4 linked regions of the Mus musculus genome follow. The protein of the gene in region 3 purifies or fractionates together with the protein of the main gene of each other region. This does not show direct contact. Links are inferred from orthologs where the notes say so. Each region holds a gene or a part of one and is shown on either strand. Other genes may lie near its edges. The genes, in order: Arhgef1, Arhgef12, Gna13 and Arhgef11.

Region 1 (4,120 bases), on a different chromosome or scaffold from region 3:
AACTCCCCCCCCCAAGAAAAGAGAAGCCAAGGGAGGTACGAAATTTTAACAAATTGTCACCAGAAGACCCTGACTCTCTTGTTCACAGTTCACATGCATTGCCTCCACACTCCCCATCACAGTAATAAGGAACAATGGCTGACACTCACGTGTTCTCAGTATGTGTCAGACACAGCAAAGACAGCACACACAGGCTTAGTTTCTATGCAGGGTTCAGGGTCTGTCTACAGATGTTAATGAATTTAATCCTCTTACTGACCCAATGAGGCCAGCATTATTTTGGTTTGTTTTAGGAGAGGAGGGTGTCACTATTATTCTTATTGCTGATTTACAGGAGGGGGAAATTGAGGCATGGCTTATGAGAGTCAGAGCCAGGATTCAGGTTCAGGCAGTCTGGTTCCACAGTTTAAACATTCAGCACACAACACTGCTACACACACACACACACACACACACACACACACACTTTGACCTTGGAATACTAAAATGTGCATCTATTCTGAGATACATCAGGTCTGATGGTGCCTGGAAAGGTCATGTGGCTGCCGTGACTTCTGCAGACACCCAGGATGGACCCAGCAGCTCCAGAAACCTGGGCTCAAAGAGGATTTGAAAAGTAGACATAGGTAAAGCTGGCAAAATGAAGCAACTGACAAAGTCCACTACTGTCCGGCAGAGGGAGCATTTTGCACTTGAGGCTCTGGAGGTGGGGTGGACAGGGGAAGTCAGGGCAGGTTTAGGTCTATGCAGTGTGTGTGTGTGTGTGTGTGTGTGTGTGTGTGTGTGTGTATGTGTGTGTGTGTGTGTGGGGGGGTCCTGAAGAAGTAAACACATAAAGGCGCCTGGGTCCTAAGGGCTCACATTCAACAAGCCTTTGGACTGGATTATTTAGGTCTCCAAGAACTTCTGGGAGCCTTGAAAAAAACTACGAGGGCCCTGGAATGTATACAACCCCACATTCTATTTGACATATAGTGGGCCTCAAGAATCCAGAGAGATGGTGATTCTAAAGGGAAAACTAATGGTTTATGGGACCTCGATAGTGGTGTGTGGTGGGTTCTGTAGGGCCCTGCCTTGATCTATGAGAAGCCTATGCTTATGTTAAAAGCCAGGTCTCCGTGAAAGGCTTCCTGAAACCTGGAAGGTATGTGAGCTCTTATTGACCTATGTAACGTGGCGGGTCTTCACGAGCCCTAAATCTTACGTGGGACGTGGCTGATCTACAACAGGCGCTCACTAATTCTGCAGCGGTGGTGGTGTGGGTGGCAGGGAAGACGTGTGGGGTCAGGTTTCACGGCAACCAAGGGCTGCCTATCTCACCTGTCGGATGGGAAGAGAAGCAAGCCACTGCAGCCTCAGGAACCGAAGCCTCCGCGCTCGAGCTCCAGGTTCCCCCACCCGTGCCGCAGAGTCGCTCTAGCCGAGCCAGAGGCCGCCTTTGCGTCCAGCTCCACTCCTCCCTCCGGCCGCTCTAGCCCGCCTCCTACCGCTCTCCGGCCTCGGCAACTCCACTCCTCCTGCCGGCGGGTATCGCAATACACGGCGCCACGCTGGCCCGATAGGGCCGCTCTGGTCTGCCTTGGAGGACCCTTGTTTCCGTATTTCGACTGCCCCTGTCACTCTCCTGGGCCCCGCCCCCTTAGCAGGAGTGGTGCATGGTTCCATTGCCTGGTTAGGGCTCAATCTCGGAGAAACTTCAAGTCGCTCAGGTCCTAAGCACCTATCGGGACCTCACATGAGCTCTACCTCCCCAACTCGGACCTATTAAATTCCAAATGCTTGTATACCCTCTGTCACCACTGTCAACTCCTCCCGCTGTAATTGGAAAGAAAAAACAAAACAAAAACAGAACCCCCTCACATAGATAGACACACACACACACACACACACACACACACACACACAAACAAAAGCATAAAACACTCATGCGCTCGAGCATATATTTTCTTCTGATAGACTAACCTGCAAAATGCAATGACTTCCCTTTAGGCCTCAGTCTTCCCATCTGTTCAATGAGGATATGTTTCCGGTTCTCTCCCCTACAGCCATCTCCCAGAGTATAATTAATACCACAGAGAGGGTAAGGAAAAAAGCTTTCTGAGACGTGTTTAACGCTCTGTAAGTCTCGGCTTTAAAATGTACTGCAGAGATATTTGTTTATTTTAGGGAGCTCTAATCAAGCATCCATGATCGCAGGGACAGCTCTTTACAGGAAACAGCTTTGAGTTCAAGTCCCAGATGCTCTGTCCCTACGACAAGGCAGTCCGACTCCCTGGGCCTCAGTTTCCCTGCTGATAAATGAGTGTTATCGTTCTTCGCTGGGAGCCTGGATCTCTACCTACTTGTGCTCTCGACAAGTGCTCTCTCTCTCTCTCTCTCTCTCTCTCTGTTTTGTTTTGTTTTTTTTTTTTTTTTTCTTTTGAGGCAGGTTCATGCTAGGTCGCCCAAGCTAACCTCGAACTCATGGCAATCCTCCTGTCTCTGCTTCCCAACTCCTGGGATGACAGGCGGGCGCCAACGCGCCGGGTTTTCTCTTTGCTCTCTTTGACAGATGAGAAAACCGAGGCCAGAGAAAGGCGGCTGCAGGTTCACTGGGCGCACCCTGGGAGGCCCTCCGCGCCCGGTCCCCTCCCTGCTCCTCCCTGCGGCGGCTGGAGGAGGAGGCCGGGCGGGGCCAGGGACAGTGTACCTGGTGTCCGCGCGGGGAGGTGACCGGCGAGGCGCCCGAGGTCGGGCTCGGGGATCCCGGGCCCGGTGTCCCGACTCCGGCTTCCTGGCTCTGGCGGGCAGGAAGTCGGGGCGTTTTTCCGGAGCCCCCGCCCGCCGCCCCTCCCCGCTTCCTGCCCGCGCCCCGTGCCCGCCCGGCACCTCGGCTTCCTTCCCCTTCTCGCCGCCCGCGCGGCTCCTCCTTTCCCCGCGGGCGCGTCCCCACCCGGCCCCGCCCGGCTCCCCTTCGCCTTTGTCCGCCTCCGCCGCCCTCCCTGCTGTTGCCCAGCTCCTGCCCTGGCCCTTACTCTCTCTTTCTCTTAGTTTGCGACAAGGGCTCCCTATGTAGCCCTGGCTGGCCTCGAACTTGTTGTGTAAGGCGGGCTGGATTCGAACTCAGGTGTCTCTGCTTCTGGAGTAGAGAGATTAAAGCTAAAGGTGCGCGCCACCACCCTGATCTCTTTTTCGAAGCTCGAAGGCCTTCCTGCCCACAAGGTCAGGGGCCCATCCAGGCACTCCTTGCTTTCTGGCCTCTGTTGCTTCTCCCTGCTGCAGCTCCTCTGTGCCTTGATCACGCTGGGCCCATTTCTTGCTGTTGGCTGTCTCTCTCATGCTCTGAGATTTCAGGCTTTGTCCTTTCCTCAACTGTTATTATCAGGCCAGCCAGTTTGTGTCTGCTTCTTCCTTTGGCTATTTATCTCTGCATCCTTGTCTCTGGGGATCCCACTGAGTCTCCTCTTGGCCTCCTGTCTTTTAACAACCTGAGTCTGCTCTTCCCATCCCAATGACTGTCACACCACTCTAGCTCTCTCTGTCATCCCCCTCCCCCCGGTTCTTGACAGAAACTCTCCAAATCTGCCTTATGCAAGTGAACCCATGAGGGAATTAGGCCCCACTCCAGAAAATAATATCTTGTGTTCTCAGAGTTTAAATATAGGTAAAAATTTGGTAACACCCGGGCTGGTTCCCCCTTGCTTTGGGACATGAGGAGGGTGAGGCCCTATAAGGGAGATAAACCAGCATTTCAATTGGGGTGGGGACTTCCCCAAGAGACTTCCTGTTATTTTGGGGGGAGGGGGTTGGGGAAGACAGACAGCAAGAACTGTCTGGTCCCAGATCTCAGAAGTGGTCAGGTGAGAACTTGAACCTAGAATCCTGGGTCTGAGGGGGGAGGGGACTTGGGTTTTCTGCTCCTGGTTCCCTGGCAGTGTTGAGGAGCAGTCTACATGAGATCCATGACTCCTGCCAAGGGCTGCTTTGGGAAGGATTTATTATCACTTAAGTGGCCATGACAGATCTGGGAGGAGGGGGGGTGACACTAACGAGGCTGCTGTAATCAGCTCCCCTAGAGGCAGCGATTAAGGGCTCATTACCCACTAGAGAGGGAGCTGGACTTGGGGAAGGACAAGATTAG
Region 2 (3,563 bases), on a different chromosome or scaffold from region 3:
AGTCAGAATAAGCCCACCACTTCACATACCTGAGAGCTTGTCGGGGAGGGCTGAGCCAGCCAGCCTTTGGCAAAGAAGAGCGTAACTTTCCTCCACCTTCTTCATGGGATGGCACACACACAAAAAAAATAACATTTAGTTGACAATAGGGGTGAAAGCACATGGCCCCCAATTTTAACATTAACAGTGACCACTAAAGATGCTGTTAGCTAGGAGGACGCCAATTTCTTCTGAATGAGTAACCTACCTCTCTATGCAAGGGGAAGGAAGTAAAGGTAACCTGCCCATGGCAGATGTCACCCAGGGAAGGTCACATGACACATGAACACAGAGGCCTCCTAGATAGCCTGCCTTGCTGGCCACATAGTGACATACATGAGATTAAAGAAGAAAACCTATTACATGGAGCAGAAAAAAAAGTTAAGGGAGATGAGCCCTGAGCTAATGGACTTCCGTCGACACTACGTGTCCCACCTAAATGATGTCATGGGCAAGTGTGAGCTCCAGCAGCTGTGTCACCAGGGCCGATGCTCTTACCTTACTGTCCCTTGTGTGTGTGTGTGTGTGTGCGCGTGTGTTTCTCATGCTTTTTCTTTTTTGTTGTTATTGTTTGATTTCACTCTGGTTGGTTTGTCTTTTTTAATTTGCCTGCACGTTAGTAAAGAGAGAAAGGCCACGGAGCTGACTAGGTGGCAAGGTGAGAAGGATCTGGGAGAAATTGGGAGAAGGGGAACCATGATCAGAAGATATTGTATGAAATAATTTATTCTCAATTTTAAAATAAAATAGAGTCTCTTTCATAAAAAACCAGCACAGTAACGTCTTTCACTACCTCCATTTGGGCTCATGGGTTTTTGTAACAGAAGCCACTGGAGTCAATTTGTAACTGACATGGCCTCCGAGAAACTACCAACACTATTTATGAGGCACATGTAACTGCCAGGATACAGCAGCTCACAGCTATTCCTGGCTGTGATTGACAGCCACGAAAGCCCACCTACCGCCCGCATCATCCAGCATGATGGAAACCAACTGACCCAGTATTTAGGGTCTTAAAACTTAGAAGCCCAAAAAACAGGTAATTAGCTACAGACCTACAGTTTTCTTGTTCTTATAATGTGTCAAAAGACAAACCATGTCAACACCAGCTCTGATCCAGGCCTACTCATGATTAATGGTTAAAGACAATAAAAATGGCAGACACAGAACCTGGACCATCTTTGGACATCAGGATTCCATCATTCCAAACTTGCACTCTGCCAGCTGTGTTCTTAGGACCAAGTGCTACGGAGGCTGAAATGGGACATACCTTTAAGTGTTCCAGGTCAGCCTCTATTTTATGAATGTACTCCAGGATTTGGCTTTGTGAATCTGTACATGAGGGACTCTGGATCTCAAAACAGGTATCCTCCATAGCTCGCCAGTGCCGCTGGACCAGGAATTCTGGGGTGAATGGTGAAACCGGCCCCTCGGGATGCACATTCTGAGGGGAATGTTGCTGCTGGTGGCTGGAGTCCACAGCGGGGATGCCCGTCACAGGCTGCAGGGGGAACGAGGAGGCAACCTCCTCATCTGTGGAGCTCTCCTGAACTGCATCATAGCCATCAAGGATCAAACAGTTTCCTATTGGTAACAGGACAGTGTGATGAGATTAGCACTGCCACCAGAATGAGGTCATAAGGACAACTTGAAAACCTACCCTGGTGGAGGAACCCCCAACTCCCAAGTTCAGTTTTAACTCTACCAGAATTTACTTTGGATTAAAGTCAACCTTAGCAAACTTTCATGAGTTTAACACCTTAGCTACAAAGTCCTTACATGACAAGCGGAGTATCACTCACCTCCACACACCCTTTCCTGGGCTCCTGCTGCTTTCTCCCACCCCGCACTCCCCCTGACTACAGAAGCAGACTCTGCCAGTGCTTGCTGCTGAACACTGTATCCACGTGGCCTTTCCCATCACCACGTCTGCTCTCAGTACTCTCTGCCCGGGCTGTAGCTGGCCTTGTTTGTTTCTAATGCTTCTGACCACCTGATGTTTATCACTTGCTTTGGATTTACCTTTACTCTCTCCCTTTGGGCACTTAAGCTTCTTAGGAACAATGAAGTTTCTGTCATTTTTCACTGTCCAATCTCCCAGCCCCTTTGCCAATTTCTGGCAAAGATGGCAAAGAACAGACTATTTGTTGTATAAAGAAATAAGCGTGCGCGCACACACACACACACCTTAGATACTGAAACAACATCCATTCCAGCATATAAGACAGTTTATAATAATCACAATCAAAGTTGAAATGTGAAAGCCACTTGCCTGAGATGCGTAAATTAACATCCTTCTCTTCCTTTTTAACTGCTCCATCACCTTCTGATGGATTATCATCACTATGTGCTTCACGGGCATCAAAAAAGTGCTCTCCACTCTCATCCAGACCCCCTTCTGGCTCTGCAGGAGGCATCTCTGGGGTCAGGATCATGTGGTCCATTACTAAAACGTTACTTGCCTGGCTGTCTTGGGATGCCAGTATCACTGAATCCTGTGCAGCACAAGACTCAGTTGAAGTCCGTGGACTGTCACAAGTTGCAATATCACCAGTTCCAGTTTTAAAAGACATCTGTCCTTCCCTGGCATGACAAGCCTTAACATTTTCCAAGTCCCGGATGCCACTGTCTGCCTGTACCTCTTCAGAAGCTGGCCCGTATCGTGAGAAGGACTGCCAGTCTTCCTGAGTACTCTTCTCGGTGAGACCTAACTGCTGTACCAGCAACTGCTTCAACAAGCCCACTGGAGATTTAGGGCAAGAAGAAGAGAACAGAGGGTTAAACTGATTACCACAGTCTCACTGCCAGGCAAAATCTGACAGCTGAGTTTTCAATCCCCTCTAAAACTAAGGACATAATAATATATAACCAAAATATTAATCCTACACAATCATTTCTGTCTTGAAGCATGCAATAAAAATATGTCTTCTACACTAAACATTAAAATACACTGACAAGAGTTATGCACTTTGAATAGGGAGGCACTTTGAATTAGAAGTCCTAAATACACTTGACAGCAAGCATCTCATCTGTTTCAGCTAGGCCAGCAAATGCTCTTCTTCTCAAGAGCAGACTCTATATTTATAGGCATTTTTCCTAACAATTGTCCTAAATGGTGAAGGCAATGATTTGGGAGTAGTATATGGAAGTTCCAAAGTAAGTATTCATTAGATTTGTTTGTTTAGATTACCTTACTAGCAGCATTGCTCCTTTAGGATGTTAAAACTAACCCTGGGGCTAGTCTTATGACAAACTTCTGCAGGTGATGTCAGCTCTAGGACCAAGCCATCAAGCTATCAGACATCACTAAGTCTGTCACCTCAGGAGAATGCACAATAAAGAAGATTTTAAATAACTGCAACTTCCTGATTCCACCACAGGCTGACCCTCTGCTTTTCCAATAAAGAGCTCAGGTCTAAAACCCCTCCCCCTTTCTCAAGCACCTTAATTCCAGCCCTAAAACTCCATGTCCCACTACCACTCCCCTGGGATGGCTTGCCACTCCCTGTCTGGATAGTGACATT
Region 3 (4,152 bases):
GGCCCAAATGGACAGTAACTGATGGACTGACTTATAGTGCTGGTTTTTAAAATTTTAAACTTGTGCATGTCACGGTGTTGACCTCTTTACCCCAACTCCCTAACACACAGGAAGTTCCCAAGTTGCACACGAGTCAGGTCCCAGGAGCAAAACCAGACAGGCATCAACTTTGAAACTGACAAGAATGAAGAAGTTGGCTTCTGAGGTCCTTGCTACAGTCATTCAGCTGTCACTAGTCACGTGTTCCCCAGGAGTCTCTTTTTCAGGTGTTCTGGCCTGATCTGCTGGTATGACAGAAAAAAAAAAGTTTCTTGTCTGTCATATCCTCTGTAATCCGGCAGGAAACCCAAAATGTGCCTGCTGCAGTCCTAGGCTGAGCGCTTATCTGCTTCCTTGGGAAGAACGTGCATCAGAGTGTCCGGTTTAGGGGGATTTTCAACATGACCTCACCCTCTCCACCATTCACTGACCTCAGAAGGCATTACCCAAGTCACAAGTGCAGCTCGGATGGGAATCTAATGAGTGAGCCAGCCGCCAGCGACCTTCCTGGCACATCTCACGAGAACATCAACTCCAACTTCCCCTCAAACCAGGGCAGGTTATCAATAGTGCCCTGAGCTGCTAGGGTGAGGTGTTGATCAATAACGACATCTGACATCTACTTATCCTTCCAGATTCGGGATGGTTAGGATGACAAGGGGGCGGGGAAGGGTCGCTGCTAATTAAACGCACGATCTTGAAGGAAAGCTCTTGCCTGCCGGTAATACCAGAAACGGACAGGGAGGCTGAAGCAAGACGATTGTCACAAATTTAAGCCAACTTGGGCCGCAGGGATCTTGTCTCAAGAGTTAAAACAAAACAAAACAAAACAAGGCAAACTGTAACGAAGGAAGGCTTGCACTGGTCGGGTGCGGGGATGTCCCAGCCAATGGTCTCAAAATAGGTCGCGTGAAGGTGACAGCAAGCGGCGGGCGAGTAACTATGGGAAAGGGCAGTGGGATCTGTAGTGAGAAAGATGCCCCAGCGGAAAGGGGTCAGGATGGGCTTTGCTTACTCGCCTCGGGGCTCCGGGAAGCGGTGGCACTAAAGGGAAACAGAAACTCTGGATCCGCAGGCGCGCGCGCCCAGCCTGGCCCACGTGACCCGGGCTCCGCCGCTCTCCGAGCGCGCTCCCGGCTGCACAGGAGCGCGTGACTCCCGCCGCTGCCGCTCCCTCCTCCGCTCGGCGTGCCTGCGTGCGCGTACCCGAAAGGCAGCGGGCACGCGCACGCCCAGAGGGCCGCCGCCCCTCCCCGGGCCCGCCCTCCCTCCCTCCCTCCCTCCCTCCCACCCTCCCCCGGCCGGCGCGGCCCGCCCTGGCGAGTCAGTCCTCGGGTTCCCTCCCTCCCCGGGCGCGCTCGGGCCGCCGCTGCGCTCCCCGCCCTCCAGCCGCCTTGCCGGAGCCGCCCGCTGCCGGAGGAGGAGGTGGAGGAGCCGCAGGGGCCCGCCGAGGCGGCGGCGGCGGCAAGATGGCGGACTTCCTGCCGTCGCGCTCCGTGCTGTCCGTGTGCTTCCCGGGCTGCGTGCTGACGAACGGCGAGGCCGAGCAGCAGCGCAAGTCCAAGGAGATCGACAAATGCCTGTCGCGGGAGAAGACCTACGTGAAGCGGCTGGTGAAGATCCTGCTGCTGGGCGCGGGCGAGAGCGGCAAGTCCACCTTCCTGAAGCAGATGCGGATCATCCACGGCCAGGACTTCGACCAGCGCGCGCGCGAGGAGTTCCGCCCCACCATCTACAGCAACGTGATCAAAGGTGCGGGGCGCGGCGGGGCTCGGGGACCCCTGGGGAGCCGGGCCGGGCACCGCCCTCATCCGCCGGGTCCCCAGTCGGAGGAGACCGAACGGGATCAGATCGGACGGGCGAGCGGGTGGGCGCGCCTTGGGCACCGTTCTGTGCGCCCTGTTGCCCTGGTCCCTTCGATCCGGGACGCCCCGCTGTCCCCCCCGTGCTACCCCGGTGAGGGTCACGGTCGGCCCAGCACTCCGCGGCTGGCCTCGCCCCCTCCAAGAGGGAAGTGCGGCGAGTAGGGTGACTCGGGGCAGCGGGGCAACTTGTGTCCTCCCTGCACTCCGGGCAAGACCACCCATCAGTAGCCCCAGGTCCTACACTCCCTATCCCTTCCTATCCTTCTTTCCTTTCTGCCCGTCCCTGGTGGGTGACCCTAGTAACCGGGTATGTTACCCTTCCAGCTTTGGGCTTCCTAGGCCACCTCTTGACTTAAGCAAGTTCTGGAACGGTTGTAATGAGGAAACTTTTTTTTTTTTTTTTTTTTTTTTTTTACCCTGAGACTCTTGTCAAGGGCATAGAGTGACAGCCTCTAGAGCCTTTTGGGGCAAGAGTATGAAACTCACGTTTACTGAACTGGCATCAGGAAAGTCTATTAAAAAAAATTAGCGCGAGTGGTTTTATCGGCTCATTGCTACAGGATGTTTGTAATCACAGTTCAACATGTTGCACACTTTTTTTTTTCTTAATAACTCGAGACAGGAGAAAAAAACAGTATCATTTCATATCATTTCTAATGCTTTCATGAATTTATGTTTAAATACATGTGCTGGACTGCATGGTGGGCTTCACAAATCCTGTTGAACAGTATTTTAAATACTGTTCCTTAAGTGAAAACCACCCAATATTTTTATTCCTTAGTGTTCAAATAAGTTGCAGAGGTGGCTTTTATTTTTATCATTTAAAAGAATCATCTTGTTTTTTTTAATTTTTTTTTCTTTAGTGTCAGGTATTTTCTACCTAAGAGAAGTTGGCAGAGTTGAGGCACAGCAGCACATCAGAAAACAGATTTCTGAGTGGTTAAGGAGTCACCCTATTAAATCTAGGGCTTGGAAGCAAACTTTAATTTTGTAGGTCTTTTCAAGGAGTTGTGTGACTTTTTTTTAAGCATATTTTTTGTTGTTCAAGAAGAACATAAGCAAACTCCCTCATGGGTCCGTTCCCCCCACCCCCTTCAGTGTTTCAAGTAGGGAAAGACTAGAGAAGATGCTTTGCCAGGCAGAGAGGGGAGAGGGCGAGGCCAGGAGCTCACAGTCCATGTCTTGCCCTTACCCTTGTACCTTTGCAGTAAAGCTGAAAAGGATGGCTGTGTTCAGTCTGCCTTAATGCTCAGCACAGAACTAATTAAAGTCTCCTGGAAGACTGTAAACTGTACCTTGCCAGCCCTTAATTGAAGGTACCTTTGTATCCTGATACAGATGAACTTAAAGAATGAACAGACTCAAGTAGTCACTTGTGAGCGAGGCAAATCACCTGCTTTTCTACACACACTGGGCCTAAGAGTCCCTTTGAACATGATTGTGTGATCAGGTTGAAGTCTAGGGAGGCATCTTATTTTCTTTTGTTGGCATGGTCAGAAAAGTGAAAGCATAACAATTTTTTCTTGTATCCAAAGAAATGACTTCCCGATGATGACAGAAGTAACAGTTTTAGAGACAGGAGTTTGAGCTGACCTGTGTAAGTGGAAGCCTCATGGGCGGTCTTGGGTCTTTGTGCAGTTGGTTTTCCTTTTAGGTGACTAAAGCCAGTGTGTGACTGCACTGATTAAAAGAGAAACTTGGTCTGAGGAAGCCTTGAGGTTAAGTGCGTCCTAGAAGACAGTGTTGGTAGGAACCTGGAGGACCCGGACTGCACACAGCACAGTCAGCTGTCCTTAGCTCGGGCCGGGCCGTCTTTAGCCTGGCACCAGCCTAGGCAGCACTATTTATTTTTTCTGTCTCCGGTTTTGACTGCCGTCTACACCAGAAAGGATTTTTATGAATCGTAGCATATTAGAATCCTCCCCAAAGTGGTTTTTGTTATTAATATTAACTTTTCAAGGCTTCTGGTTTTGAGACAGTGAACACTTGTTTCTCAAACCTCTGAGAAGATAAAGGTTTTGTTTTGATTCTGGTCTCCCATTTTGGAAGTGGGGCTTCTGTAATAGCTAAAAATTAAGGAACCAATACTGAGTAACCCTGGGGCCAAAGCCTCTGATGGTATCTTCATGACTCTTCCTCACACGGTTTTTCTCTTTTTAAACAAAGGTATGAGGGTGCTGGTAGATGCCCGAGAGAAGCTTCATATTCCCTGGGGAGATAACAAAAACCAGCTCCATGGAGACAAGTT
Region 4 (3,054 bases), on a different chromosome or scaffold from region 3:
TCCAGAGCAGGGCTGCCTCTGCTGAGGGTTCTGGAGAGCCCATGCCAACCTCCAGGGAATCTCCAACCAAGGTAACTCTCCCTCATCTCTAGCCCCTCCTCTACCTTCCAGAGCTCCAGCCCCGGCTGGCAAGTGGCTCTGGGGATCTCTCCGGCTGCTCTGAGTCTCAGTCACTGTGTTAAGGTGCACCATGGCTTTTCCAGTTATGTCCCAGGTCCTCTAAGGCATGGCTCAGCTGCCATGGCTCTTCCTGGTCTGTGGGAAGGAGGGCAGTGTGGTAACCCTCTTCATGGTTTGCATCTGAGAGTAGGTCACAGCAGCCCTGTTCCTTCGTGTGACGTAACCACAATGTCCTTTTCTGGGCCAGAGCCAGTTGTCCAACCTCTGCTGAGAAGGTCTACACACCGGCACTTTGGGACAGGTGGAAAGACCTGGTGCAGGATGGCTGTGGCAGGGGCTTTCTTGTCTCCCTCTACCCATTTTTGACCGGTCACACCGGCAGCCTCACACCCTCTATCAGGCTAAGAATCATACAACCACAATGGAAGAATATTTAACTTTTCTTTAAAAAAATCTTAACCATGAAAGGAAGAAAATAAGAGTATACATTATTTTAACAGTAAAACAGTCATTTCCATATCTATATTTTATATATTATATATATTTATATATATGTATATATACACCTAGCACAGTGTGTATGTTCATTGTAGGGAGTGGCGTGAGGACAGGGTGATGAGCCAACGGTGCTGTGGCCCCTGGGGAAGGAAGGGCCCTGACTTAACTCAGGGACTCCAGCAATCCACTCCACATCTCTCTTGAGAGTCTGTGTTGAGATCCGTACCTGGTGTATTGTTTCTATGGGGCAAGTGGGGAAGGGCTGGGTAAGACACTCCCTGCAGGAGCATTTCCTGACACTGAGAAGGCCTAGGCTTCAGAGGTGGGCAGGCCCTGGAGCTTGACAGCACTGGAATCTGGGAGACCTCCCTGCCAGTGGGACATAAACAATCATGGCCCTGTGCGGGGCTGCTGCCTGGCTCTCTGTGACTGGTTGAACATGCCAGGGACAGAATAAAAGGCTAAGTTATTTACAATGGCAAAGATACACATACAATAGACATATTTATAGGAAACTAAAGGGCAAAGAGGAGAGCCAGGCATCTAGCTGTCTCGGGGCCTAGGAAGAAGAGGAGGAAGAAAGTGCATTTATACATAAGCCTCCTCAAGGGCACTGTGCACATAGCACACCCCACACTGGCTATGTGGGGTGGAGGCCTTTCTATTGTGGTCAGCATGCTTAGGAGACGAAAGCCACGGAGACTTGGGCTAACAGGAGGAAGAGACACTAAACTGGACTGTCTGGTGGGAACAGACCAGGCAACATGAGGGATTCCCAGGCCTCACAGTATCTTTCACGGGGAGGCTCGGATCTCCTAATGTGGCGCTCTGGCTCAGGCCAGACTCTGGTTGTCTGGATGGCTATGGTCCTGGTGACGAAGCTGTGTCTGTGGCACTGTCTTCCAGGGGGGTGTCGGAGCCTGTGGGAAGATGGTGAGGGTGAGACGCTGGCTACATTTGAGAGGTTCTCTTTCATGTCCCTGGCTGATTCTTGAGTGCCAGCTGTGACAAAGCTTATATGTAATAGAGTGTGTGGAAGCTAGACAACTTGTTGGAGTCGGTTCTCTCCTTCCATGTGAATCCTGGGGCTCGAACTCAGATGGTCAGGCTTGGTGAGCCATCTTGTCAGTCCAAGCCTTGTTTCCTGTGGGACTGCATTTCTTTCCAGGCGCCAAAACCAAGACAGGTTAGGCGTTTTAGCTTTCTGAATTCGGTCCTTGCCCTTATAACCCAGGTCTGAGCCACTAAGAACCTGCTGCAGAGGTAAGGCGGCTTTCCTGGTACATTACTTCCTCAAACCAACATAAATAGAAGGTTCTGGGGGCTGAGAGATGGCTCAGTGGTTAAGAATACTTTCTACTCTCCCAGAGCGCCCAGGTTCAATTCCCATCACCCACATGGCAGCTCACAACCACCTATAACTCCAGTTTCAGTCCTCTTCTGGCATCCTTTGGTACTGCATGTATGTGATATACAGACTTACATGCAGGCAAGAGGTTCTGTACTACTAGTCCCTATTTGGGGGGGAGTCTCTGTGTAGCTTGCCTATAAAGATCACTTTCTGGGGCTGGAGAGAGTTCAATGGATAATCAGAACACCTAGAAACAGGACACAGGAGAACAAACTGGTGGGTGGGCCGGCCAGCCTGGCTCATCTAGCGGTGAACATAGATGCTGCCTCAGGGTGGAAGGCAAGAACGGACAACTGAAGTTGTTCTCTGACAGACTCCCCCCTCCCGGCCTGGAACTATATACCTCCAACTCACAGAAATTCAGCTGCATCTGTTTCCTGGGTGTTGGGATTAAAGGCACAGCACTGTGCCTGGCAAACTTTCTCTGTGAAGCTGAGGGAATGTGCTTGCTCTTTCTTAGGGAAGAGTCATGGGAGCACGGCCCACTACCTGCTCACACTTACTCCTGGTTCACAGCATTCCCTCAGGCAGCACATGCAGGGGTTGGCTTCACTCACCTTCTTCAGGGTAGGACCCCTGCTCCTGATTGTTTTGGGGGTCAGAGGTCAGGGCTTCCTTGGCTGGAGGAGAGAGGGAGTAGTCTGTCCATCTGGCTGCCTCTGTGTGAAAACTTCCCACAGGAGTGGTTCCACCAGACGACTCTCCTCCAAGGGAGTTGAGCAGCTCTCTGTGGGCCAGCTCCATGTCCTACAAGAGTTGAAGGAGGTGTCTTCCCTGTGCTAAGGCTCAGAGGGTGCGGGAGGGTACGCAGGGTAGCATAGGACTCCAGTTGAAGAGATATACTTCCTGAGTTGGGGATGGAGCTTAATGTTTGTCTAGCTTGTGTGAGGCCCTCGTCTCAAATTTCTATCAGTTTCCCTCTCGGGGAACTGTCCCGGGTACTGGATGGACGGCTTCCTGCCCCAAGGCTGCACCCCTCACCTTGAGTCTGTGAAGCTTGACGGTCAGTTGCTCGATGGTGTGGA

What was found.
Region 1: the proteins of Gna13 (region 3) and Arhgef1 purify together in Homo sapiens (affinity purification with western blotting; 5 studies listed by BioGRID and IntAct, with this or other methods). This does not show direct contact. The link is inferred for Mus musculus from reciprocal best matches to the Homo sapiens genes GNA13 and ARHGEF1.
Region 2: the proteins of Gna13 (region 3) and Arhgef12 purify together in Homo sapiens (affinity purification with western blotting; 3 studies listed by BioGRID). This does not show direct contact. The link is inferred for Mus musculus from reciprocal best matches to the Homo sapiens genes GNA13 and ARHGEF12.
Region 4: the proteins of Gna13 (region 3) and Arhgef11 purify together in Homo sapiens (affinity purification with western blotting; 3 studies listed by BioGRID). This does not show direct contact. The link is inferred for Mus musculus from reciprocal best matches to the Homo sapiens genes GNA13 and ARHGEF11.

What each region holds. Positions count from the first base shown.
Region 1 is NC_000073.6:24,901,698-24,905,817, reverse strand, and holds the start of Arhgef1 (rho guanine nucleotide exchange factor 1), read right to left. Parts: upstream 2,833-4,120; 5' UTR 2,690-2,832; intron 2,385-2,689; exon of another isoform or gene 1,963-2,384; intron 1,851-1,962; exon of another isoform or gene 1,321-1,850; intron 1-1,320. UniProt on the Homo sapiens protein: Seems to play a role in the regulation of RhoA GTPase by guanine nucleotide-binding alpha-12 (GNA12) and alpha-13 (GNA13) subunits. Acts as a GTPase-activating protein (GAP) for GNA12 and GNA13, and as guanine nucleotide exchange factor (GEF) for RhoA GTPase.
Region 2 is NC_000075.6:42,969,684-42,973,246, forward strand, and holds part of Arhgef12 (rho guanine nucleotide exchange factor 12), read right to left. Parts: intron 2,783-3,563; coding exon 2,312-2,782; intron 1,624-2,311; coding exon 1,310-1,623; intron 100-1,309; coding exon 30-99; intron 1-29. UniProt on the Homo sapiens protein: May play a role in the regulation of RhoA GTPase by guanine nucleotide-binding alpha-12 (GNA12) and alpha-13 (GNA13). Acts as guanine nucleotide exchange factor (GEF) for RhoA GTPase and may act as GTPase-activating protein (GAP) for GNA12 and GNA13.
Region 3 is NC_000077.6:109,361,466-109,365,617, forward strand, and holds the start of Gna13 (guanine nucleotide-binding protein subunit alpha-13), read left to right. Parts: upstream 1-1,328; 5' UTR 1,329-1,508; coding exon 1,509-1,791; exon of another isoform or gene 1,792-2,189; intron 2,190-4,070; coding exon 4,071-4,152. UniProt on the Homo sapiens protein: Guanine nucleotide-binding proteins (G proteins) are involved as modulators or transducers in various transmembrane signaling systems.
Region 4 is NC_000069.6:87,735,528-87,738,581, reverse strand, and holds the end of Arhgef11 (rho guanine nucleotide exchange factor 11), read right to left. Parts: coding exon 3,011-3,054; intron 2,777-3,010; coding exon 2,587-2,776; intron 1,660-2,586; exon of another isoform or gene 1,539-1,659; coding exon 1,480-1,538; 3' UTR 543-1,479; downstream 1-542. UniProt on the Homo sapiens protein: May play a role in the regulation of RhoA GTPase by guanine nucleotide-binding alpha-12 (GNA12) and alpha-13 (GNA13). Acts as guanine nucleotide exchange factor (GEF) for RhoA GTPase and may act as GTPase-activating protein (GAP) for GNA12 and GNA13.